Linked DNA regions of Caenorhabditis elegans. The protein of the gene in region 1 purifies or fractionates together with the protein of each later gene. This does not show direct contact. Each region holds a gene or a part of one and is shown in the gene's direction. Other genes may lie near its edges.

The links.
Region 2: the proteins of hel-1 (region 1) and C34C12.8 fractionate together in Caenorhabditis elegans (co-fractionation; one large-scale study listed by BioGRID). This does not show direct contact.
Region 3: the proteins of hel-1 (region 1) and Y54F10AR.1 fractionate together in Caenorhabditis elegans (co-fractionation; one large-scale study listed by BioGRID). This does not show direct contact.
Region 4: the proteins of hel-1 (region 1) and lsm-8 fractionate together in Caenorhabditis elegans (co-fractionation; one large-scale study listed by BioGRID). This does not show direct contact.

What each region holds. Positions count from the first base shown.
Region 1 is NC_003280.10:8,326,352-8,331,632, reverse strand, and holds hel-1 (Spliceosome RNA helicase DDX39B homolog), read left to right. Parts: upstream 1-2,762; 5' UTR 2,763-2,763; coding exon 2,764-3,090; intron 3,091-3,133; coding exon 3,134-3,410; intron 3,411-3,456; coding exon 3,457-3,575; exon of another isoform or gene 3,576-3,700; intron 3,701-3,746; exon of another isoform or gene 3,747-3,937; coding exon 3,938-4,472; intron 4,473-4,518; coding exon 4,519-4,538; 3' UTR 4,539-4,781; downstream 4,782-5,281. Other genes in the region: C26D10.4 (GHMP kinase N-terminal domain-containing protein), read right to left, coding at 1-46, 346-508, 555-1,025, 1,556-1,755, 1,802-1,865; C26D10.3 (Pyridine nucleotide-disulfide oxidoreductase domain-containing protein 1), read right to left, coding at 2,043-2,229, 2,277-2,341, 4,801-4,935, 4,984-5,193, 5,241-5,281.
Region 2 is NC_003281.10:3,458,187-3,462,662, forward strand, and holds C34C12.8 (GrpE protein homolog, mitochondrial), read left to right. Parts: upstream 1-2,219; 5' UTR 2,220-2,224; coding exon 2,225-2,274; intron 2,275-2,326; coding exon 2,327-2,430; intron 2,431-2,498; coding exon 2,499-2,740; intron 2,741-2,799; coding exon 2,800-3,015; intron 3,016-3,136; coding exon 3,137-3,238; 3' UTR 3,239-3,404; downstream 3,405-4,476. Other genes in the region: C34C12.2 (Fibronectin type-III domain-containing protein), read left to right, coding at 1-823, 1,286-1,567, 1,635-1,859; pph-6 (Serine/threonine-protein phosphatase 6 catalytic subunit), read left to right, coding at 3,518-3,594, 4,116-4,205, 4,262-4,374. UniProt on the Caenorhabditis elegans protein: Essential component of the PAM complex, a complex required for the translocation of transit peptide-containing proteins from the inner membrane into the mitochondrial matrix in an ATP-dependent manner.
Region 3 is NC_003281.10:2,570,877-2,577,963, reverse strand, and holds Y54F10AR.1 (Phosphatidylinositol transfer protein N-terminal domain-containing protein), read left to right. Parts: upstream 1-2,278; coding exon 2,279-2,295; intron 2,296-2,707; coding exon 2,708-2,902; intron 2,903-2,960; coding exon 2,961-3,278; intron 3,279-3,336; coding exon 3,337-3,457; intron 3,458-4,576; coding exon 4,577-4,738; 3' UTR 4,739-5,806; downstream 5,807-7,087. Other genes in the region: Y54F10AR.2 (Mitochondrial genome maintenance exonuclease 1), read left to right, coding at 6,417-6,511.
Region 4 is NC_003282.8:6,324,222-6,330,665, forward strand, and holds lsm-8 (U6 snRNA-associated Sm-like protein LSm8), read left to right. Parts: upstream 1-2,304; 5' UTR 2,305-2,311; coding exon 2,312-2,395; intron 2,396-2,622; coding exon 2,623-2,738; intron 2,739-4,887; coding exon 4,888-4,984; 3' UTR 4,985-5,258; downstream 5,259-6,444. Other genes in the region: sqd-1 (RRM domain-containing protein), read left to right, coding at 124-417, 505-1,012, 1,090-1,214; Protein seu-1, read left to right, coding at 5,418-5,432, 5,546-5,791, 5,939-6,073, 6,163-6,279.

The sequences.
Region 1 (5,281 bases):
TGTTCGGGAAACTTCTTATATTGATACTCGATTATATCCAGAACCTCTGAAAATAGTTTAAAGTTACAATATTGCAAAGTCTAGTTTTTGTGAGAATTCAACTGGTCTCAGTGGAGGAACAGATGTCTTCCGCTTTTTTTCAATCAACCCGATTGCGGAATCTCGTGATTTTTAATTCAAAATACGATGTCTGGTCTCGATACGACCGAAACTAAAGAGCTACCGTTCATAAGTTTCGTAATCTTCCCACAATATTGTTATAGTTTTGCCCAAATGTTCAAAATAAATTAATAGCACAAAAAATATCTCAAATTTGTTTAAAGGCACGGCAATTCAGTAACTTACCGACTCTTCCTTTAAAATCTTGAAATTTCTTGAAAATTTGTTTTCTTGCATTTGTCCGATCTTGCACATTCTCAGATACTTTTTCATGAATTCCCAACTTATTTTTGATAAATTCTTCTTCACTAGTACACGTTGCTAGAAAAAAATCAAAGAAAAGTGATAACTGAAACATGGCTATCAAAAGTGAAAGATGGTAAATCAAGACATACTTTCAATGGTGTAACGTTCGAATCTACTCCAAGATAAGTGGTTGCTGCTACTGGAAATTCCGAATAAAGTGACAAGAATAATGTAGCAGCATTCAATGGAAGATATATGAAGCCGAGAATTACATGACTGGATTCTTCAAAATGTTTCCCAGCGTATTCTCCATCAAATTCCATTCCAGACAATTTGTTATCTTTATCAACAATATACCATCCATGATGATCAAGCTGATTCTTCTTCTCCAGAAATGTAAACCCAGTTATAGAATCTTGCGGAAGATCAAACATGTTCAATTCCTTTTCGAGCTTCCATGACGCATCGCTACCAACAATCCATACCCCTGTATGCGTTGAATTTGCAGCAATTTTTGAACAGTTTTTGACAGAATTTGACAAATAAGTGTCAAATACATATCCATTACCACCCTTTATTGTTGAATTGTCTTTTGCGTTTTGAAGTGTTCGGGGATCGCTCTGAAAACTGCCAACAACAGTAACCCCTGCGACATATCTATAGATAGTTGAGTGTTCATATAATCCCAGTTTAAATAAACCTAAAGTAACGAAAAAGCATAATAAAACATTCTAAAAAAGTTTTTTCAGACAACGTTTTGACAAATTCCCAAATTTTCAAATGTATTGGCTTTTTGAATAATCTTGAGCATTGATGCAGGTTTTAACCCAGAAGTGTTCTAAAACATGTTTAAAACATACAGTTGAAACGCAATAAATATTAAGCTCGTAGAAATTATTATTTTTTGGTCGGCATCCAAAATTGTGAATGGCGAAAACTCTATTATCATCACTTTTTGACTAAAAATGGAAAATTTCAACACGTTTTAAGATGTTTTACTACACGCCACCGTAAATATTGAAACTTGAGACAAAAAATGTATTTATGCCTATTTCATTGTACAATTATAATTACAGCTATTTCTCAATGTCCAAGAAATTAATTATAATTTTTATTCTACTATTTTATCGAAATAATAAAAAGTACTCACCACCAAAACAATTAACACGTTCACGTCTTGCAAGACGGATTCTGTGAGTACTGTCAAATTATTCCTGTAGCATAGCCTTTCAGCAGTTCTTATTAATGCATTCAATGCACTTCCACAAGATCCTATATCTTCTGATGCATCATTTACTACAAGTATTTCTTCGCAATTCGGAAAGGCGATATTTTGGAAATGTCGTATATCTATAATACGAGTGTGTCTGTAGTTTATATCGTATGAAAATTGAACCTGAATCAATACTACTTGGCTCTATATTGAACCCTAATGAAAATGTGACAATGTCCCAACGCATTTGATAGAGAAAAAGAGTGTAAGAGAGCAAGGAGAATACGACTAGCACTGGTGTATTCCACGTGGTAAAGAGATGGAGACGCAGAAAATGTATAGATGTGAAAAAGATAGTAGAAAACTGGTTTAATATTATTCAAACACAACAAAATGTATAAACATCATACAGTATAATAATAATCTAATCAAAATAATCATCGAGATCAACTCCCGGCTCCAAGAATGTTTCTGAAATGCCTTCTAGATCTGTTTTGTTGAGAATCAGATTTTCGAGTGTCTCCTCCATGTCAGTTTCGCCAATTAGAAGGGCACCGACAATCTTATTTTTGACGACTACACATCGAACGAGTTGATCGTTATCGGCGTCTCTGAATATTAGAGCATGTTTCATTGTAATCTAAAAAGTGTACAGTACCTCAATACAATCTTCCATTCTCCTTCCACCTGTCTCTCTGGTTTGTAGTCTCCAAGAAACACCACCTGAAAGAACATTTGTTTTTCTATGATTCTTTGCACACATCTATCTTTCGGATCGTTTCGCTACTAATATTGTCTTGTGCACTGGACAGCTGTTTACAGCCACATTCCCCCTCTCGTATTTGAACACCCGCCCATTGCTAATTACTTCGCTGCGAGACCATACGAAGCGACGCGTTGCGTGTGCGTCGCGCGTCGAAAATATTCGAATGGGTATCGTTTCGCGGTTTATTCTTCATGAGGAGCAACCGCTCTGCATTTTCCTGTTTTGATCTGTTTTTGTGAGGTTATTTACTAAATTTCTTTTGATTGTTCTATTTGTGACTTTCTCTAATAGGTTAAACACTATTCTCTATTTTCTTCGTGAAATTAGGATTAATCTCAAGCCCCTTTTTATGAAGACCTTTATTTTTTTTTGTTTCAGAATGGAAGAGGAACAACTTCTTGACTACGAAGAGGAGCAGGAGGAGATCCAAGACAAGCAGCCAGAAGTTGGCGGAGGCGATGCCAGAAAAACTAAAGGAACGTATGCTTCTATTCATTCTTCCGGATTTCGTGACTTCCTCTTGAAGCCAGAAATTCTTCGTGCCATCGGAGACTGCGGTTTCGAACATCCATCGGAAGTACAACATGAGTGCATTCCTCAAGCCATTCTTGGAATGGACGTTGTCTGCCAAGCGAAGTCCGGTATGGGTAAAACCGCTGTTTTTGTAATCACCACTCTTCAACAACTGGAGCCAGTGGATGGCGAGGTAAACAGTAATACATCAAATTTCAATAAATCATTGTTTTCAGGTATCTGTTGTTTGCATGTGCCACACTCGCGAGTTGGCATTCCAAATTTCCAAGGAGTATGAGAGATTTAGCAAATATCTCCCAGGAGTCAAGGTAGCTGTCTTTTTCGGTGGAATGGCCATCAAGAAAGATGAGGAACGCCTTGCCAATGACTGTCCACACATTGTTGTTGGAACTCCAGGAAGAATGTTGGCTCTGGCTCGTTCTGGCAAGCTGAAGCTTGACAAAGTCAAGTACTTCGTCCTGGACGAGTGCGACAAGATGATCGGAGATGCTGGTAAGAAATACTTGTAAATATAGGAATCATTATTGAACTTTTTCAGATATGCGTCGGGATGTTCAAGAAATCGTCAAGATGACTCCACAACAGAAGCAAGTGATGATGTTCTCCGCCACATTGCCAAAGGAGCTTCGCACTGTTTGCAAGCGATTCATGCAAGACGTACGCTTTATCTCTGATCCGGAACCTACGGAACCGCTGTTCACTTTTTTGAAACAAAAAACATGTATCAAACCAAAATGCTAGTCATGTGTGTTCCGTGATGCGAAAGAGATGGCCAGAACTTGGTTGGTCGTTAATTCCGAAGTCGCTTTTTGATTTCTCGGATTTCAGATCTCATCTTGTTAAGCCTCTCGCCACGCAGAAGCCATCGTCCTCGGGGGAGGTAGCTGGCTCGCCTCAGCGAAGCTGATTGCTAATAGGTCGAAAGACTTGTCGGGAACACGTGACATGTACTGCAAAACACGTTCCAGCCCCCGATTCATCACCGTGCTGCCGTTCTAGACCTTAAAACATTTTTTCAGCCAATGGAAGTCTACGTCGACGACGAAGCCAAGCTCACTCTGCACGGACTTCAGCAACATTACGTCAAACTGAAGGAAGCCGAGAAGAACCGTCGTTTGCTGAATCTTCTCGATGCACTCGAGTTCAACCAAGTCGTCATTTTCGTCAAGGCCGTAAAACGTTGCGAAGCTCTCCACCAGCTCCTCACAGAACAAAATTTCCCATCAATTGCCATTCATCGTCAAATGGCTCAAGAAGAGCGACTTTCAAGATACCAAGCATTCAAAGACTTCCAAAAGAGAATCTTGGTGGCCACCGATTTGTTTGGACGTGGAATGGATATCGAAAGAGTCAACATCGTGTTCAACTACGACATGCCAGAAGATTCCGACTCGTATCTTCACAGAGTTGCACGTGCTGGTCGTTTTGGAACCAAGGGTTTGGCCATCACTTTCGTTTCTGATGAGAATGACGCCAAGACCTTGAACAGCGTTCAAGACCGCTTCGATATCAGCATCACTGAGCTCCCAGAAAAGATCGATGTCTCTACCTACAGTGAGTTTATATATACCAACGCCCATTCAAAAATTCTTATTTTCAGTCGAAGGCCGAACCAATTGATTCCATGTACCCTCCTATGCATTCAACTAAATATGAGTTCCACCTTCGTTTTACCCGGCATTGTGCTGATGGAGTAAAATGCCTATTGTTTCCCCTAAATTATCGACCTCTGTTTCTTGTGGTCTCATTTACCAATTTTCGTTATCGTTAACAGTTTCCAACTACACGCAAAAAAATTTGACTGTATTATTTATTTTTCTTTTTTCATGAGTGTTTGGAAATAAAATTCGACAATTACCATGCAAATTGTTATTTATCTCACCTTTAACCCGAAAAAAGTCGTACAATGCGAGAACAGTTCGAAATACATATTCTGCATACGAGCCTCTTCGACGCCTGCCACCATCGCTCTTCCACACACTTCTCCTTGCTGACGTGCTTGTGTCCACAATTGTCTCTTAAAATATTTCAACTTTATTTAACACTCAATCTATGGTTATAAAACTTGTTGCCAAAGAGTTGATGGTTCTGTGGTAGTCAGTGCACAAACATCTCCACATGCAAAAACATTAGGAAGTGAGGTTTCGCAAGCGTCGTTGACTTTAATTCCACTATTTTCAGTGATTTGGAGCATTTTATTCATAGCCCAGACTTCTGAGTTGGCAGTTACACCTCCTGCCCAAATAAAAATATCTGGATTGAGCTGGTTATCTGCCTTAATAAAATAACTAGGCTTAATGGTACGATAACTTAAAATGATACCATCTTTTCTTTATCCATGTAATGTACCGACAAATTTTGGG
Region 2 (4,476 bases), on another chromosome or scaffold:
AGAAAATGTTAAACTAATGAAGGAGAACAAAGCTAAAGAATCACAAATTTCAAACCAATCGATTCAAGTTCGAAATTCGTGGAAATTCGCAGATTTATTCAAGAAAGAGCTGCAGAAAAGTCGGAAAGACGTGTCGGAAGTGAAATGGAAAATTGATAAAATCGAAAAAAAAGTCGGCATCAAAAAGCCTACACCAAGGAAGAAGCCTGATGTAAAGCTGATAAATCCAGAGGATATTTCATTGATGTCTGACAGAACCCAGGATGGGGAAGATTCAAGTGACTTCGGAAGTCCTCTAGCGAAATATCTGAAGCCTGATCAGCCCAGCACAAGTTCTGCGTGCTATGGGAAGCCGTTCTATTTTGAAAGCACCAGCAGCAGCTCCAGAAAGCCCATCACAGCATCTCCAGGCCCTCCAGGCCGAACACAAATTTCGGATCAGCTGAACACTGGAGAAGTTAGATATGTGGTGAATTCAGGAAAACCATTCAATTTTAGCTCGGAAAGTAACTCCAGGAACTTGAAGCTTATTCCAGGATATATTAAGAGACCAGAATTTCGCTATATCAAGCCAGAAGGCTTCACCTCAGCCTCTTACAAAGCTCAGTCAGAAGGAATGAGCTCGTTTTTGAAGACTGGAAGCTCTGCAACTCCTGAAAATTCGAAGAAATCAGCCCATTTTGACATGCCGGATATTTCCTCAACGCCTTACAAATCTCACGTGGTGGTGGAATCGGACGAAATGAATAGTTCTTCGAGTACAATTGGAGGATTTGAGTCAGAAAAGAAAGATAATGGAGCTCTCGGAAGCCAGAAATCTCCTGTTAGTTATAACGAAAAAAATTGCTAAAAAATTTACTTAAAATTCCGCGAAATTTTGCCAATCTGTCAGTATCGATTTTTTCAATTTTTCAGGAAAAAAAAGTCAAATTTTAAGGTTTTTTCAATAAAAAACTTTTGAAAATGAAAAAATCCGCCAAGACGATTTGTTCGATGGGGCGCGCTTGCATTATTTTTTGTTTTTGTTTTTTTGTCCTAATTATTTCACTGAATTCCTTCATGTTTTGTGTATTTTTACTGAAAATTTGAAAAGCTAATGAACAATTTGCATTTATCTTGACTTTTCATTCAAATTTTCAGTGAAAATTCACAAAAAATGAAGAAGTTCAGAGAATTGATGAGAAAAAAAAAACAAAAATTAAAATAATGCAAGCGCGCTCTATTGAACAAAGTCTCTTGGCGGTAATTTGAATATGAAACTGGCAAAAATGGAAAATTATTGCAGATGCCCGACATTGCCACAGCACTTCACAATATATTTGATTCAAAAGAAGTTCAAAGTAGTTCTTCAACCACCGGAAGCTCTGCACCGCCCGAAAATTCGAAGAAATCAGATCATTTTGACATGCCGGATATCTCCTCAACTCTTTACAGATCTCGTGTTGAGCCAATCAGCAGCTCTTCCAGTGGATCTACCAGCACAAGTGCTCCGAGATATGTGCCAAAACCAATAGCCCAGCCAGCTCGATATGCAATTCCAAGTCCGGGTGCTTTGAATGCCTTAAGAGTGAGTGACAGCCGGAATCGCTCAGTTTACTGGAGCGCACTTGCAATAATACATACTTTTTTTTCAGCGTCCCCCAGAATGGAAAGGTCAGCGCCGACATGCGCCGAGTTACGTGAAATCCAGAGAAAGCGTCACGTTCAGAGGATGCTCCAGATTTCCAGTCACATCACCGCATTTCGCGAAAGCTCACCTGGAACCTGTGACTGATGGAAAAGATGATTCGAAAATTGTCAAATATCGATTTGTACCGAAGCGACCAGATTTTGATGGAGAACGCGAACATAAGAAGTGACAAATCTTGGTTTTTTTGTGTTTAAGGCTTTTAGAGCATTGATAATAAATTTTTTGTTGGATTTGCTGTGTTTTTTTGCGGAAATACACAGATTTTTGCAGAAAAAGTTAAGAAAAAACTGCTACAGTTTGCCCTTTTCCACTTTAAATTGCCGCTTAAAAACTCCTCGAAAAGAGTGTGCAAAGCATGGAGACGCAGACACGCACGAAAATCACGCCAGCACGTTACTGGCGCACTTGAGTCATGTGCTGGCGCATTTCTTGTCATGATGAAATTTATTAATTTTTTCTTCGTTTTTTACCAATTTCCGCCGATTTTTCGTTTTTTATTCCTAATTTCTTCAAATTTTGGCAATTTCAGACAATATGCTGCGCAAAGGAGTGTCTTTCGTCGGCCAGGCTGTTCAACAAACGCTGTAAGTTCCTTGAATTTTGAATAACGGTGAAAATCAAATTTTTTCATTGCAGGAAAACTCAGAAAAACTTGCGCATTCAAAGATTCAGCGCCACGGCATCACAATCATCGGAAGAAGTCAATTATGAGATTAGAAAAGACGGAAAGAGACTCAGAGGTAGCGATTTTTACTCTAAAACAAATTCTAAATTCTAAAAACTGATATAATATTTAAAAAAAAACCAGGAGCCGACTATGAAGAAATTGTTCTTACTTCGATTGCCGGCGAGGACAAGACACAGATTCCAAAGGGTGCTTTTGATGTTCTTCTCAAGGAATACGACGATTTGCAGGCCGAAAGCTTGGATTTTAAGGATAAATATCAAAGATCGCTTGCTGAAACTGAAAATGTTCGTCGGCGAGGTATCAAGCAAACCGACGATGCTAAGGTTTTTGCAATCCAATCATTCTGCAAAGATTTACTTGAGGTTCGATTTTTAAAATCAAAATCAACCGAAAAACAATTAAAATAATTCCAAATTTGCAGGTCTCCGATATTCTCGACATTGCCGTCAAGTCTGTGAAGCCAGAAGATCTGGAATCGGGAGGAAAAGCTCTGAAAGATCTTTTCGAAGGAGTTTCAATGACCCGTACTGTCATGGCAAAGACATTCGCAAAGCATGGCCTTGTGACCGTGGATCCAACCAATGAAAAGTTCGACCCCAATCTCCACGAAGCCGTTTTCCAGATTCCATCTGCTAATGTTAGTGCTAACCGCCCGAATTTTCCGAAATAAAAGAGCCAAATCTTGTATTTTTTGAACAATTTGGGCTTATTTAATCCTTTTTAAATGCCACAAAATGCTTAATTTCCTCCATTTTCAGGCCAAACAACCTGTCGGACATATCGAAGTGTGTACAAAGATCGGCTACAGCCTGAAAGAACGTCCAATTCGGCCTGCTCAAGTTGGAGTCGTCTCTAAATAATTTTCTTTTAATTTTCCTCTGGTTTTTTAATGTTTTTCCGGTTTTTTGTAGTTTTTTTTTGAATAGCTAGTAATTTTTATTGTTTTTCTGTTTTTTCCGTTATTTCATCACACTCCAATCACTTTTTCCCGCCGTTTTATAGGATTCGAATGAACAATTTTTGAGTTTCAATTCCCTTTTTTCCACTTTTTCGATAGGTTTTCAGCCATTTTTCATATATTTTTTAATTTTAAACAGGAAAAAAGCTTCTTTTTCATTTAAAACCGTAAAATTTTCAGAATGATCGACACAAACCTTCTTCGGGTGACAGTGTGCGATGAAGGAGAGCTCGAAAAGAGCACAACGCATTTTATTGGGTACCAAATTTTGGATATTTCAAGCGAAAAATGCGATTTTCCAAGCACAAATCGCTTTGTGTCGATTTACGCAGCTCGTGTACTCCTCGAGGAGAAGATTTTTATAGTTTTTGGAGAAAATGCTCAATTTTTGACCAATTTAACATTAAAATTGTCATTTTAATTATTTTAAATGAAAATCGACTACAAATCATCGTTTCCAGCAGTTTTCCATATTAAAAATGCTGAATTTCAGCATAAAAATTACCAAAAAAGCGAAAAATCGGCGATTTGAACGTTAAACTTTTAAAAAACAGCGAAAATGTAAAATCTAGCATTTTAGTCGAAAACTAGTATTTTTCTCCTCGGGGAGTACACGAGCTGCGTAAATCTACATTAGGCGATTTGAGCTTGGAAATTGATTTTTTTTACTCAAAATTGAAAAATTCTGCGAAAAATTTCGAATTTTTTTGCAAATTTCTAAAAAAAAACTTAAATTTCAGCTCCAAAATTATACAAAACTTAATTTTTTTCATTTCCAGATCTCGAAAAATAGAGCCGGAGCAATGGATTACGTGGGCGAGCGAATGCAAATACTTGCCCGAATCTGACGCTGTTGCTCTTTGTGCAACGTAAGAAAAAAGCAATTTTCAGCAATTTTCGGCTCAAAAACTGAACATTTTTTCAGATTAATCGATCGTCTATCACTGGAAGCCAATGTGGTGCCCGTTTCGTCGCCTGTCACAATTTGTGGAGATATTCATGGACAATTTTATGATTTACTCGAATTATTCAAAACTGGTACGGAATCGGATTCGAATTGGAAATGTCACAAAATTGGATGAAAAATTCAAAAAATCAGCCGAAAAATCGAGAAACTTTCCGGGAAAATCGGAAAATTAG
Region 3 (7,087 bases), on another chromosome or scaffold:
ACTTTTCAGACGAAAATCGAGATTTTTACAGTTACAGAGAAAATCTTCCAATTTCTAGATTTTATTGTTTTTGGAAGTTAATAAATCGATTTTCAGCAGATAGTCTAATTTTCTTGGCGCTTTTTAATGGCCAAAGGTACCGTACTCTGTGTAAAGGCGCATAACCACGTAGTATCAGCATGTCCCATCACGGTTTGATCTACAAAAAATGCGGGATTTTTTTGCCCAAAAATATGTGACGTCAGCACGTTCCTAACCATACGAAATCAGTTGAGAACTCTGCGTCTCAATTCCTGCATTTTGATTTTTTTTTTCCATTTCTTTACCGATTCACGTGGTGTCAAAGTGCCTTCTTTCGGCATGATCTACATAGATCTACAAAAAATGCGGGAGAAGAGACGCAGAGTTCTCAACTGATTTCGCATGGTTAACAACGTGATGACGTCACATTTTTTTTGGCAAAAAATTCCCGCATTTTTTGTAGATCAAACCGTAATGGGACAGCCTGGCACCACTTGAACCCAGCTTTTTTCGATTTTTTTTTGAATTTTAATTATTTAATAGGGGAAAGTCAAAAAAATCGATTTCATATTGTTTCCGCAAGTCGAAATTTGATTTATGTGTATCTGCCCCAAACTTGTCGCTCATTTCCATGGTGATTCTCGCGCCAGCTTCACACTTTTTCAGATTTTCCATTGAAAATGTCATCCGTCACTTGTTTTTCCAACCCATTTCGCTCCTCTCCATAGTCGTTACTTTTTACTTTATATAGCCTCTCTCTCTCAACTTGACAGCGCACACGCTACTCCACAAACATGACATATTTAGTTTCTGCTCCAGCTCTTTTTTCTCCTCCGTTTTCCCCCCGTCCCGGGTGTTATCGATTTTTCGCCGCGCCGCCCTCTTTTTTTTGGGGAAGGCCATTTTTAATACTATTTTCCATCTTTTTTCCGTCTTCCTTCTTCCAAAAACGTTAAAAGAAAGGAAAAAAAAACGAATATTTCTTCCTCTTTTTCTTCCAAGAAAGGCTCGAACCCTGCTGTTAATCGAGAAGAGAGTATACGAAGTCACCGAGAGGAATGCTTGCGCATTTCGCGTGCCTAGTGAGTCGGCAAGTGAGACAGAAACACAGAAAGCATTCGATTTTCTCCTCGTTGCTGCGCTTATTGCTTCATCTATTTCGTCTGTCTTTTTTTTTTCTTTTTTCCGCTTTGTTTTTATGTTTTTTGCGGGTGTATGGACCTTAACACGTCATTTTTTGCAGTTTTTGCACTGAAAATTGGTCGGAAAATCGTTAAAACCTTCTGAAAACTCATTTTAAATTCAATAAAATTAAATATTCATCACACTTTTGTAGATCGTCGCGAGACCCGAGCCAATTCAAAGACCATGCACCTTTAAAAACCATTTCAAGATTTTTCGTGTATTATGCTCGCTTTTCTCTCGGAATTCCAATCGGAAATTAAAAATAATCTTAATTTTCACTTCGAAATCAAGTTTTCAATATTAAATCGTTAGAATTTCATTTAAAACCACCTAGAAATAGCTTAAATTTGTTTAAAAGTTTAAAAACTTGAAAATTAATTACAATTTCTGTAGATCGCTGCGAGACCCGAGTCTCTTCAAACTATATGCGCCTTCGATTACTGCCCTTCTCAAATTCGTTTTTTTCGCTTTTCCCACGGAAAATTGAGTGATTTTTCCATTTTTCCCTCAAGAAATTTCAAAATGAGAAAAATTTCGCAACACCTCTCTCTCTCTCTCTATTCATGATGACTAATAATTCTACGATTTCGCATTGTTTGGGAGAATTTTGTATTTTTCATGAGAGACGCCGTTAAAATTTCCAATTCCGATTTAATATTGTCATTTTCTATTTAAAAACGTTAGAAAATATATTAAATATTGGTAAAATCAACTTAATTTTACTAAAAAACTTTAAAAAATTCAAAAATTTATCAAACTTTTGTAGTTCGCTGCGAGACCCATCGGCAATTGGAACTCCGTGCGCCTTTAACTTTTCGATCAATTTTTTATTTTTAAATCCAAAAATTTTCAATTTCCCGCTAAAAATCGTTAAAATCTTTGTGAATTTCCTTCAAATTACGAAATTTCGCAATAATTTTCTTCTTTTTCTCGAATACCTTCCAAAATGCAAAAATAAAATCGATTTTCGCATGCTCTCCACCCATTAATCTTCCGTAAAGCTGTTTCCATGGCAACTAGCATAAAAAATTTAGTTTTCAGGTGGTTTCCTCCTCATTCGACACTCGCAAGAATGATTATCAAGGAGTAGTAAGTGATTTTTTTATTTTTAACGAAAATTTTGATTTTTCCTGGAAAAAATCGGTTTTTTTCCAGATTTTCCAACAAAAAAAAATCGGATTTCTCCATTCTTTTCCCAAAAAAATCGGATTTTTTCAAGATTTTTCCCGGAAGAATCGGATTTTTTCCAGATTTTTTCAAAAAAATCGTATTTTTCCAGATTTTTCCATTAAAATCGGATTTGTTCCAGATTTTTCCATTAAAATCGGATTTGTTCCAGATTTTTCCATTAAAATCGGATTTGTTCCAGATTTTTTCCATTCTTTTCCCAAAACAATCGGATTTTTTCCAGATTTTTTCAAAAAAAAAATCGTATTTTTCCAGATTTTCCCAAAAAAATTGGATTTTTTCCAGATTTTCAAAAAAAAAAATTTTTTTTCAGCCGAGTTGTGCTTCCAATGTCCGTCGAAGAGTACCAAGTAGGCCAGCTCTGGTCTGTGGCCGAGGCCTCAAAAGCCGAAACGGGTGGCGGTGAAGGTGTGGAAGTGCTCAAAAATGAGCCATTTGACAATGTTCCACTGCTCAATGGACAATTCACGAAAGGACAATATACTCATAAGATTTATCATCTTCAATCGTAGGATTTTCTTCTTTAATTCTGCGAAAAAAATTGGAAAAAAAATCAATTTTTTCAGGAAAGTCCCGGCAATTTTGCGAAAAATCGCGCCAAAAGGTTCTCTGGCTATCCACGAAGAAGCATGGAATGCCTATCCGTACTGTAAGACGGTTGTCACGAATCCAGACTATATGAAAGAGAATTTCTATGTGAAAATTGAGACAATCCACTTGCCGGACAACGGAACGACCGAAAATGCGCACGGTTTGAAGGGCGATGAGCTGGCGAAACGAGAAGTTGTCAATATTAATATTGCAAATGATCACGAGTATTTGAATTCCGGAGATTTGCATCCAGACTCCACTCCATCCAAATTTCAGAGCACAAAAACCGGGCGGTACGGGAAAAACCTTGAGATTTTTCAGTTTTTAAATTAAAAAAATCTGAAATTTCAGCGGTCCTTTATCTGGAAATTGGAAGGATAGTGTACAGCCTGTAATGTGTGCCTACAAGCTTGTTACAGTCTATTTCAAGTGGTTTGGATTCCAGAAAATTGTCGAAAACTACGCGCATACGGTGAGATTACGAGAGGATTTCGTGGATCGACAAAATGGGCGAAAATGCTCAAAAAACGAGCTTTTTTTTGTTTGAAATTTGTAGAATAACCCTATGTCGATTTACGCAGATCGTGTACTCCCCGAGGAGAAGAATTTCAAAGTTTAAAACTGAAATTTTCGATTTTCGTGGTTTTTTCATACTCAAATTGACAATTTATAGGGTTCTTAGGTGAAAATCAACAATTTTCACTTAAAATCTGATAAATGTAAATAAAATTAAATAAATAAAATCTGATAAATAAAGTTTTCACCTAAAAACCTAACAAACTGCCAATTTGAATGTGAAAAAACCGCGAAAATTGCCAAAAAGTCAAAAGGAAAACCTAGAAAACCTCTAATTTAAGTGGAAGAGGTTTTACACAGCCATTCTTCAATTTTCGAGCAAAATTTCGAACAATTCCGGAAAAAAACTGAAAACCGAGCTGAAAAAATGGAAAAATTTCGCATAAATGCTCGTGGAAATTTTCAAAAAAGTGGATTTTTACCCGATAAATTAATAAATTTATTTAAAAAATCTCAAAAATTAGCTTGAAATTGGAGAAATTTTCTTTAAAAAACCGCAAAAAAAAAGAAGTTTTCGAAAAATTGCATACGAAAAATGTAGAAATCGAGCTGAAAAATGCACAATTTTCGTAAAAATTTTTTTCCATCTTTTTCGCTGAAAATTTTTATAAATGAAAAATAAAAAAAATAAACCAAAACATTGCTTAATTTAATAAAAATTTCAAAAAGTGCGAAAAAATTGAATTTTAATTTTAAAAAAAGCTGGAAAACTGCGCAATTTTGTATAAAATCCTATAAAGTAAAATTTTCGAAAATGTTTTTTTTTGTTAACCCAGTAATCTACCTGAAAAATGGACATTTTTGTTGAGATTCACGTGAAAATGTTCAAAAATCAGATTTATTTCAGATTTTTCCAAAAAAAAAAATAATTTTTCCATTATTTTCCTTTAAAAAAACGGTTTTTTCGCCAAAAAATCTCGGATTTTTCCATTACTTTCCCAGAAAAATAGGTTTTTTTTTCTAGAAAATTCAGCTTTTTTCCATTTTTTCTCCAAAAAAATCCCAAATTTTTCAGCAATACCCTCGCCTGTTCTCGAAATTCCATCGGGAAGTATTCTGCTGGATCGATAAATGGCACGGCCTTACAATGGTCGATATTCGAGAAATCGAGGCAAAAGCCCAGAAAGAGCTCGAAGAGCAAAGGAAGAGTGGACAAGTTCGTGGAATGAATGGATAAATGGACCACCGGGCCGTGTTTGGGCTCAAATTCTAGTCTTTTTCCGATTTTTTTCATCGCTCTTATTTCTCTAATTCTCTCTCTCTCTCTCTCTCTCTCTCTCGCTTCCTCCCACCCATCCACCTGCCCCATGATGAACTGTGTGATTATTTGAGTAGTGTGAATTTTGGGAATTTTGCTTAAAAATTTCTAAAATTATGTTAAATTTGAAAAAAAAAGAAAAATCACGAAAAATCAAAAACTCTACTTAAAAACCGCTTTTTTTGAATTTCCCGCCAAAATGAGACTTTCGACCAATCAGCGATTCGCTCCACCCACTTTCGGACCAATCATTGGTCCAAAACTGGGCGTAGCGAAGCGCTGATTGGTCGCTGTTTTTTTTGAATTTTTTTATAGCAAAACATTCGGAAATTAAAAAAAAATGGCGAAAAATATAACTTTAAACTCGTAATTTTTGAATTCCCGCCTTCGAACTCCGCCCACCTGTTCTGATTGGTTGAATGATGGGCGGAGCGAATCGCTGATTGGTCGCAGAAAATCTCGTTTTTTTTGGTGATTTTTTGAAAATTTTCAAAGCAAATATTCCGAAATTTTGAAAAAATGCGAAAAATTTATAATTCCCGCCAAAATGTGAACTCCCCGACCAATCAGCGTCTTCGAACTCCGCCCACGCGTTCTGATTGGTTGAATGATGGGCGGAGCGAATCGCTGATTGGTTGACGTATTTTTCACTTTTTTTAAAAAATTTTTTGCCTATTTTTCGATTATTTTAAAGCAAAAGTCCCCATTTTTTCACACTGCTCCCCTTTTAAAAACTATTTTTTTTTTCTTATTTTTTTCGTCCCGGCGCCATTTTTTCACTCACTTTATCCACACACACCAGCTCCCACTCACTAGAATACATAGCTCTTTTTTGTCCTTAAAATCGACACCAGTGTGAAATCAACAACAAAAGTTGCTCACTATTTATTATATAGCTTCTGAAATGAAATGCAAAAAAAATCTCATATCACCCCGCACCCCCAGCTCTTTATTATAGAAAATGATAATTTATACAGTTTTTTTTTGTTTTTTGTGACCCCCCCCCCCCTCTTTTTTAGTAACAAAAAATCTTAAAATCAAAAATTCCAGAGAAGAATAAACGCATGTCTCATTTTATTTTTTGAAAAATTTTAATTTTGAGAAAAAACCAAAAAATCCGGTTTAGGAACCTAAATATTTCGAAAAAAACGACATTCTGGGTCTCGACGCGACGGGAATTTTTGTTAAATGCGAAAAGGTATGCGCCTTTAAAGACTACTGTAGTTTCGAATTTTTCACAGTTTTTCGATTTAAAAAAATTTCTGAAAAATAAAAAAAATCGATAAAATTTGCAATAAAATTCAGCTAATTTTGAAGTTTTTTCTACAATTTTTTTTTGAATTAAAATAAATTTAAAAAAACTTTAAAATGAGCTGAAAAATGCACAACTTTGCACTTTTTGGGTTAAAAATTGCTCAAAAATCGCAGTATTTCATCCATTTTCGAAATTAAAAAAAAAAAATTCGAAAACCCCGAAAAATTGATGAAAATTTGAAACTACAGTACTCTTTAAAGGCGCATACCTTTTCGAATTTAACAAAAAAAATTTCGTCGCGTCGAGACCCATTTTTCTGGGCTAAAATCGCGAAATTTTCAGATGAGATGGGCTACAGCCTCCACCGTACGGGCATTTAGTACAGAAATACCGCCGAAAAAAGATTTTCAGCGGGTTGCAGCACTCGCCAAGCTGTGGTGAGGGATTTTTTATCAATTTTTCGGAGAAAACTGCTTTAAAAAACGTTTAAAAGCGCTAAATCTTACATGAAATTGGAAAAAATTGGGAAAAAAGTTGGAAAACAGCGTAAAAATTGCATTTTAACAAGAAAAATCGAAAAAATGAGCAGTTTTCAGCTCATTTTCGAGGTTTTTTTTTCGATTTTTACTTGGCAAAACTTGCAGAAAAATCGATTTTTTCACGAAAAAGAGAAAAAAATACAGAAATTGCGTAAAAACAAGAATTTTAAATCGGAAATGTCAAAAATTTATTGGAAAAATAATTTTGAAAATTAAAAATAGGAAAAATAGCCAAAAATGGTCTAAATTTACATAAATGTTTTAAAAAACGGAGAAAAATCCAGAAATTGCGTAAAAATTGAATTTAAATGGGAAAATTCCAAAAAAAAACACTTTAAAAAATTGAATTTTTGAATAGAAAACCATAAAAAATTCGCTATAAACTTGAAAAAAATTATCAAAATTTCCCAGAAATTGAGGAAATAATTTAAATTTTAATCGAAAAACCTCAAAAAAGCAAAAATTTATGCAAAA
Region 4 (6,444 bases), on another chromosome or scaffold:
TCCAAGGCTTTTTTATCCAGCTTTTACCTTTATTTGTTCTTTTTTTTTGGTTCAGTAAAGTAAGGTGGGTGAATTAAAGGTCTCGATGCAGTAAATATAGTTGTGTTTCAGATAGTAGTAAAAATGGAAGCTACAGATAACAAGATTAACGGTAACGCCTCTGAGACTATCAAGGAAAATGGACACTCGACGAAGGGAAACGAGGACAAGAAGATATTCGTTGGTGGAATCTCGCCCGAAGTGAACAACGAAGATTTGAGCTCCCACTTCACCCAATATGGAGAAGTTGCTCAAGCTCAAGTCAAGTACGACCGGACTAACGGCCGCTCCAGAGGGTTCGCATTTGTCGAGTTCACCACTGGAGAGGGCTGTAAATTGGCCCTTGCTGCTCGCGAACAAACCATCAAGGGAAAATCTGTGAGTTCTTGTTTTTTTTCCTCGCCTACTTAAATGGCACTAAAAAGATATAAGTTCAATTGACAATAAACATATTTCTTGTTATAGGTCGAGGTAAAGCCAGCAAAATCGAGGGAAAACAAGAAGGTGTTTGTTGGAGGACTCCCATCGGACTACAGCGAGCAAGATCTTCGCTCTCATTTCGAACAATTCGGCAAGGTCGACGACATTGAATGGCCATTCGATAAGCAGACCAAGGCTCGTCGCAACTTCGCTTTTATCGTATTCGAGGAGGAGGAGTCCGCAGACAAAGCATCTTCCCAGACAAAACAGACCTTCGGAACTCGCGAATGTGACGTGAAAAAAGCAGTTCCACAAGGAAAACGGTTCCCAGGCGCCCAAGGGCGTATGCCAGGTGGTCGCGGAATGTATGGTGGACGTGGTGGAAATAACAACTCGGGATGGTATGCTGGATGGGGACAAATTGGAGCTATGCCATACGGAGCTACTGGAGCAGCTTGGGGAGACTGGTACGGAAACGGTTATTACGGCCAACAAGGTGCAGCACATCACAACAACAGCGGATCATCGCAAGGTTACGGAAGCGGATACCAGAGTTAGTTTTGTTACTATTTGATTCCATGTCTTGTGACTCATTCCACAAGGAATGCATCAGTATACTTATTCTATCAGGTTTTGCAGGAAATAACAGTGGATTCGATTACCAACAAGCTCAAGGAGCCAGACAGGGCAACAATGGCCAACCACGCTTCCAACAGCAGCCACAACAACAAACTGCTCAAGCCCAACAGTTCTAAATGTGCCTTCAGAACATCACCTCAATCACCATCTGAAATGCCTCCATCACAGTCCTCTTCAGAATTCCTGTTTCCTTCCTACCTAATCTTTCAAAAAATGTCCAAATTGTTTTGTCCTCACGCCCAGACTCAATCAAAAGCAGTTACAAATCGACCCTAAATTTCTAACGCGCGTTTTTCTTTAATTCCTTTTTTGGCAATGACGATCTGAGATGTGTTGTTCCCGAGGTTGAATTTTATATCGAACCAGTTTGTTTTGTTTCTCTGATTCTCACCCAAACTATCATCGACTCTCAACTTTTTTCCGTTGGTAATCTTTGATTTGAATAACTCCAGGAATAATAATAACATACTTTTGTTGTTTTAGATGATGTTCTTGTGAACATAATACTTTATCCACCCGCCTTTTTAGATGTGTAGAAGTACTTTATTTCCATCAGTTTTTTCAGTCATTTTTTGTTGTTTTAATTGTTTCGCTCGTTTTTTCTTTGAGCGATTCTGCGGCAGAAAACAAACTGTATTTTTACTTCTCTTCCCTAAAGTCTGTATGCTTCGCCCCCAATTTTTGTCTTTTAGTTGTTGTTATGGTGCTTTTTCCTTTGTTCAGGAACTGGTAACCAATTAGACTGTGCAATTCACTGTAGTTGTCAAGTATATTCACATTGAATTGTGCAGTTAGTTGTTAATTTCCCTCATCTCATTGAAGTGTATCTGATGAATCGTCAGGTGTCCCGTCTTCGTCTAATCTCACAACACCCAGCCACCCAACAAAAGCTTCTCCCTTTTTCTCCTTCGTTTTTTGCCAATCTCACCCGTAAATTCGCTCCCAAAAGCCCCCCCCCAACCGATTCTAATAACTGCCTCTTCGTTTGACATGTTATTTGTTGTCACATTCGTTTTTAATGTATGATAGATTCATGTCAAACATTTGTGTTGATATTAAGCTGAGAATGAAATTTTTGAGGACTAGTTGTTCTTATATTATCATTAAATTTTTATGCTTCATGAATTGAATGCGAACAGGTGGGTTGCCGTGAAAAATATCTCACTTGGGAACAATAAACTTCAATATTTAGAAGTCAATTTTCAGATAAAATATGACTTCAACTCTAGATGCGTACATGAATCGGATGGTGAACGTGGTCACTGGTGATGGTCGGGTTATCGTTGGACTTCTGAAGGTAAAATATCTAGAAAGAAATGTTGCTTCTGCACTTGGCGACAAAGGTTCGAGCCTTTGTCAAGAAATTTCAAAAATGCAGCACATCTTGATTATTATAAAACACGAGATTTTGAATCCCAACTTTGAAGAAATTGTTCAAAAAGACTGAGCTTATGTGTCGGATTAAATAATTAAATTATGTTACCTTTTAAAATTTCAATATTTTATTCAATTATACAATTTTAGGGATTCGATCAATTAATCAACTTGGTGATTGAAGATGCTCACGAAAGGTCGTATTCTGAGACGGAAGGTGTGCTCACGACACCATTGGGACTATATATTATTCGAGGAGAGAATGTGTAAGTTGAAAATTGACGGGACATAATTTAAAAATCGATTTTACCTTGTCACGGTGCTCTGCTTTTGGAATTTATAGGTTTTCTGCGACTAAAATTAGTTGTTGATGAAGAGTTTAGAAATGTCTCTTCTTGAATATCTACTTCATTTATTCCGATGAATTTTACTTCCGAGTTCCCGTACCACCCAATCCGTGGGTCAAACGATCAACAAACCCTCGAAAACATTGGACTCGGCATGCTTTTCCTTCCATTCCGTGCACATTATCGAAAAACTGACCAATTGTTTCAATTGAGTAGTGGCGGAGCCGCCTGCTTCAGCAAAGAAGCTCTTGATCATGTACGAGAGTGTTAAAAACCAAGACAGTTTTTATTGCTCAAAATCCATGGTCTTCTCTTGTTGAGAGGAGATGTTGGACTTTTAATAAAAGACCGGGTACAAATGTTGAACATTTGGAGCATTTTATCTGGATTTTTTTTTCACATCGCCCCATTAAACCTTATAAAAAGCTTCACATCGCCTTGCTTGTTGCAAATTCGCTCTATCGCCATTCTTCAATCTTTTCGAATCTAAAAACTCGTTGGTCATTATGTACTCTCTATTTCACCCGGTCTCTCTCTTCTGTTCTTTCTTTTGGAGTGCTCTACGGACCAATTGCTTCAAATGAATTATCGATTTTTTAAATTGTCGCGTTAGAATAGTTTCTCTGTGTTAAAACAGATCGACCTAATTTCAATTATCATCAAGAGTTTTTTTTTCTATTCGATTCAATCTTTTCCGATGACATTAATCATCCGTTTTTTATAATGTTGCACCCATGCGATGATAAGATTTAATTGTGGTCGTTGACTATCAGTGCTGAGAATGGAATTTTCTCGTTCAATTCACTTCAAAACGGGTCAATGTTATCATCTCAGAAACATCAAATTGATTTTACTTCATTTCTTCCAGTTGAATATTTTCTATAACGTTCCGTCGACATACCTTCGCCAGTCAACATTGAGTCATCATTTAAAAAAAAAAGAAAGGTGCAAGTAGTCCTGGTACCTGATGTTCTATAACAACCAGATCAAGTGCTTCTGTTGTTCCTTTGATCATTCAGCTTTCGGCAGCCGTCTAAAAACATAGCAACTGGTCGTTTCTTGTGCTCTGTTACGGTCGGAAACACGGAAAAGTCGGGGAAGCATGACGTGTCAAAACATCTCTTCCAATCGTTCGGCATTTTCTCGCCCTCAATCACAATTTGATGCTTGACCAATATGATTGCCCGAAGCCTTGCAGCAGCACCAGCAATTTATTTTGTTTGTACTCTTCACATTTTCGCCGGCAACAAAAAAAAACAACGAAAGAGGGAAATAGTTATAGTGAACGAGAGAACGAATACGAAAATGGACAACGCGATGGGAAAAATGTTGAAAAAGTATCCGTTTTCCTATTCTATGTCGGAGCTTCACAACTTGCTTACTAGGTTTTCAGTTTTCAGTTTTACTTTGTCGTTTCTATCTGAAAAGCGCTTATAGTTAAAACATATTCAGTTAAGTTCCAAACGAACTAAAACTTTAAAAAAAAAACTCCTCGTTGAGCGAATGCGATTGATTATTTTATTGAAGTCTCTAAATTGGCTCTTCCAGTCTCTGTTCAATACCTAATTGTTTTCTGATTAGTTTCATTATATTTATTGATTTTTCGTTTCCGATACACCACTCTTCTCTATACTCCACTCCAAATGTCAAGTGATAAATACTCATATTTCGAAATAGTTTATTTTTGGATAGGATACCCCTTCTGGCCCTATTCATGTCCCATTCAAAACACAATTTTATGAAATCTTTTCTCACTTTTCGTCAGTGTAATATAGCTGGAAAAGATTAATGTAGACATGCGTCAAATGTCCGAAACTTTCACAATTTCACACCTTTCAATTCATTCCGTTCGAACTTTGTTCAAAGAAAATGTGATTCCATGAAAAAAGTGTTCGGAACCTGTTCTGTTTCCCTCTGGAGAGGGGTGGAGAAATTATCGGAACACTTTTTCATTGCAAAAGTTGAAACTAAACTTTTAAAGCTATGATGTATATATATATAAAGACCAATTCTGCAACTACTGTAGATTTTTCCAAATGTTTCTTTTTGAAAATCTATCATTTTTCAGAGCGATTATCGGTGAAATCGATGAAGAACTCGACAAACGCGTTGATCTGGAAAATGTGAAAGCGGCCCCACTTGCACCAATTTGGATTCCCCAATAATTTCCACACAAATCGATATTCTGCATTGACGCGTTGTATTGACTGGTTATTCTCATCGTTTCCCCCCACCATTTCTTCTCCCCATTTAAATCATTTTTCCCAAACTATTCTCCATTCTTTTCTTGTTTCCTTGACGGTTTTGTATTCATACCATCGTTTCTTTACCATTTTTGGATCTCTAATTTCCTCTCAAATATTGTGAAAATTTATACATATTTATTTGCTTTGTTTTTAATAGTTAATGTATTAAATATGCATTTATTCAAATTGCAACGTCATTGTATTTTTTCGTGTTTCAACCGTTTGTTTATCGGTTTAACATTTCTTTTTTTAATATCGTTTCCTCGTTGAACTTTGCCATTTCACAGAAATAACCTTGCAGAAAATATTCCAGTGCTCGATTTCAACGGAATATACGGATCGAAGTTGCAAAATGAGCAGTATCAGAGTGAGTTAAATAGAATGGGGAAAGGATAATTTTGAACAAGAGTTTTTGCGCGTTTTTCAACTTTCCTACCAGAATAAAAGCATAAAGTAAAAATCGATAAACATTTTTTCCAGAACCAGAACGACAATCGTCGACCAACATTCCGTGATCATCGTACACCACAATTTAGCGGTCGTGGTGGTAGTGGTGGTGGCGGACGCCGTCTTCAAAATCCAGCTCATTATCCACAACGCAGAGATATGTCGCCGATTCGCAGATCTTCAGCAATTTCACCAGTCAGACGTTCACAGGATCATCGCCAACGTTCGCCTGAAGTTCGACGTCATCGATCACCGGAAAAGGAGTCAAAAGACGCAGTGGTTGGTAGATTCACACTCACACCCAAAATATCTCTATAGTAACCTCTTCTGTAATGGAATTTGTTGGATTATTGACTGAAACTTATCCTCCCCCACCGATTTCTTCGGGGGCTGTATCTTGAAACGCGACGAATCTCATCAATCTAGGTCACATCGACTGGATCTTCACGTGGAGCCACGTCAGCATCTGTCACGTCGTCATCGAGAAGGCATGAGAGTGGGGAGAGACATAGAGAGACTCATCGTAGAGAGGATAAAGAGAAGAAGCCAGAAAAATCTACGGTTTGTAACTAAAGACTAGACTCACTGAGCATTTTTAGATCCGAATTCAGTTATTTTCTACAAAAAAATATAAATAAAAACATTTGCAGGATCGTGATGCTGATCGTTCAAACAACATTGCTGCCAGAATCCAGGCTCCAGTCGTCTCATCGTCGACCCACCACCATCATAGCAACAGGCATGAAAATCGAAAGAGCACAGCAGTGGTAGGTTTATACAGAAATTCGTCAAGCTGAGTCATTGTATTCCCACTGTCACTGTAAACGTCGTCAAATAATAAAATGAGCTCTTCAGATTTATTATGCTCATTGGCTCATGTGTCACCGTGAACATAATGGATTCGAAGTTCTTCTAAACGATTCATTAACCAC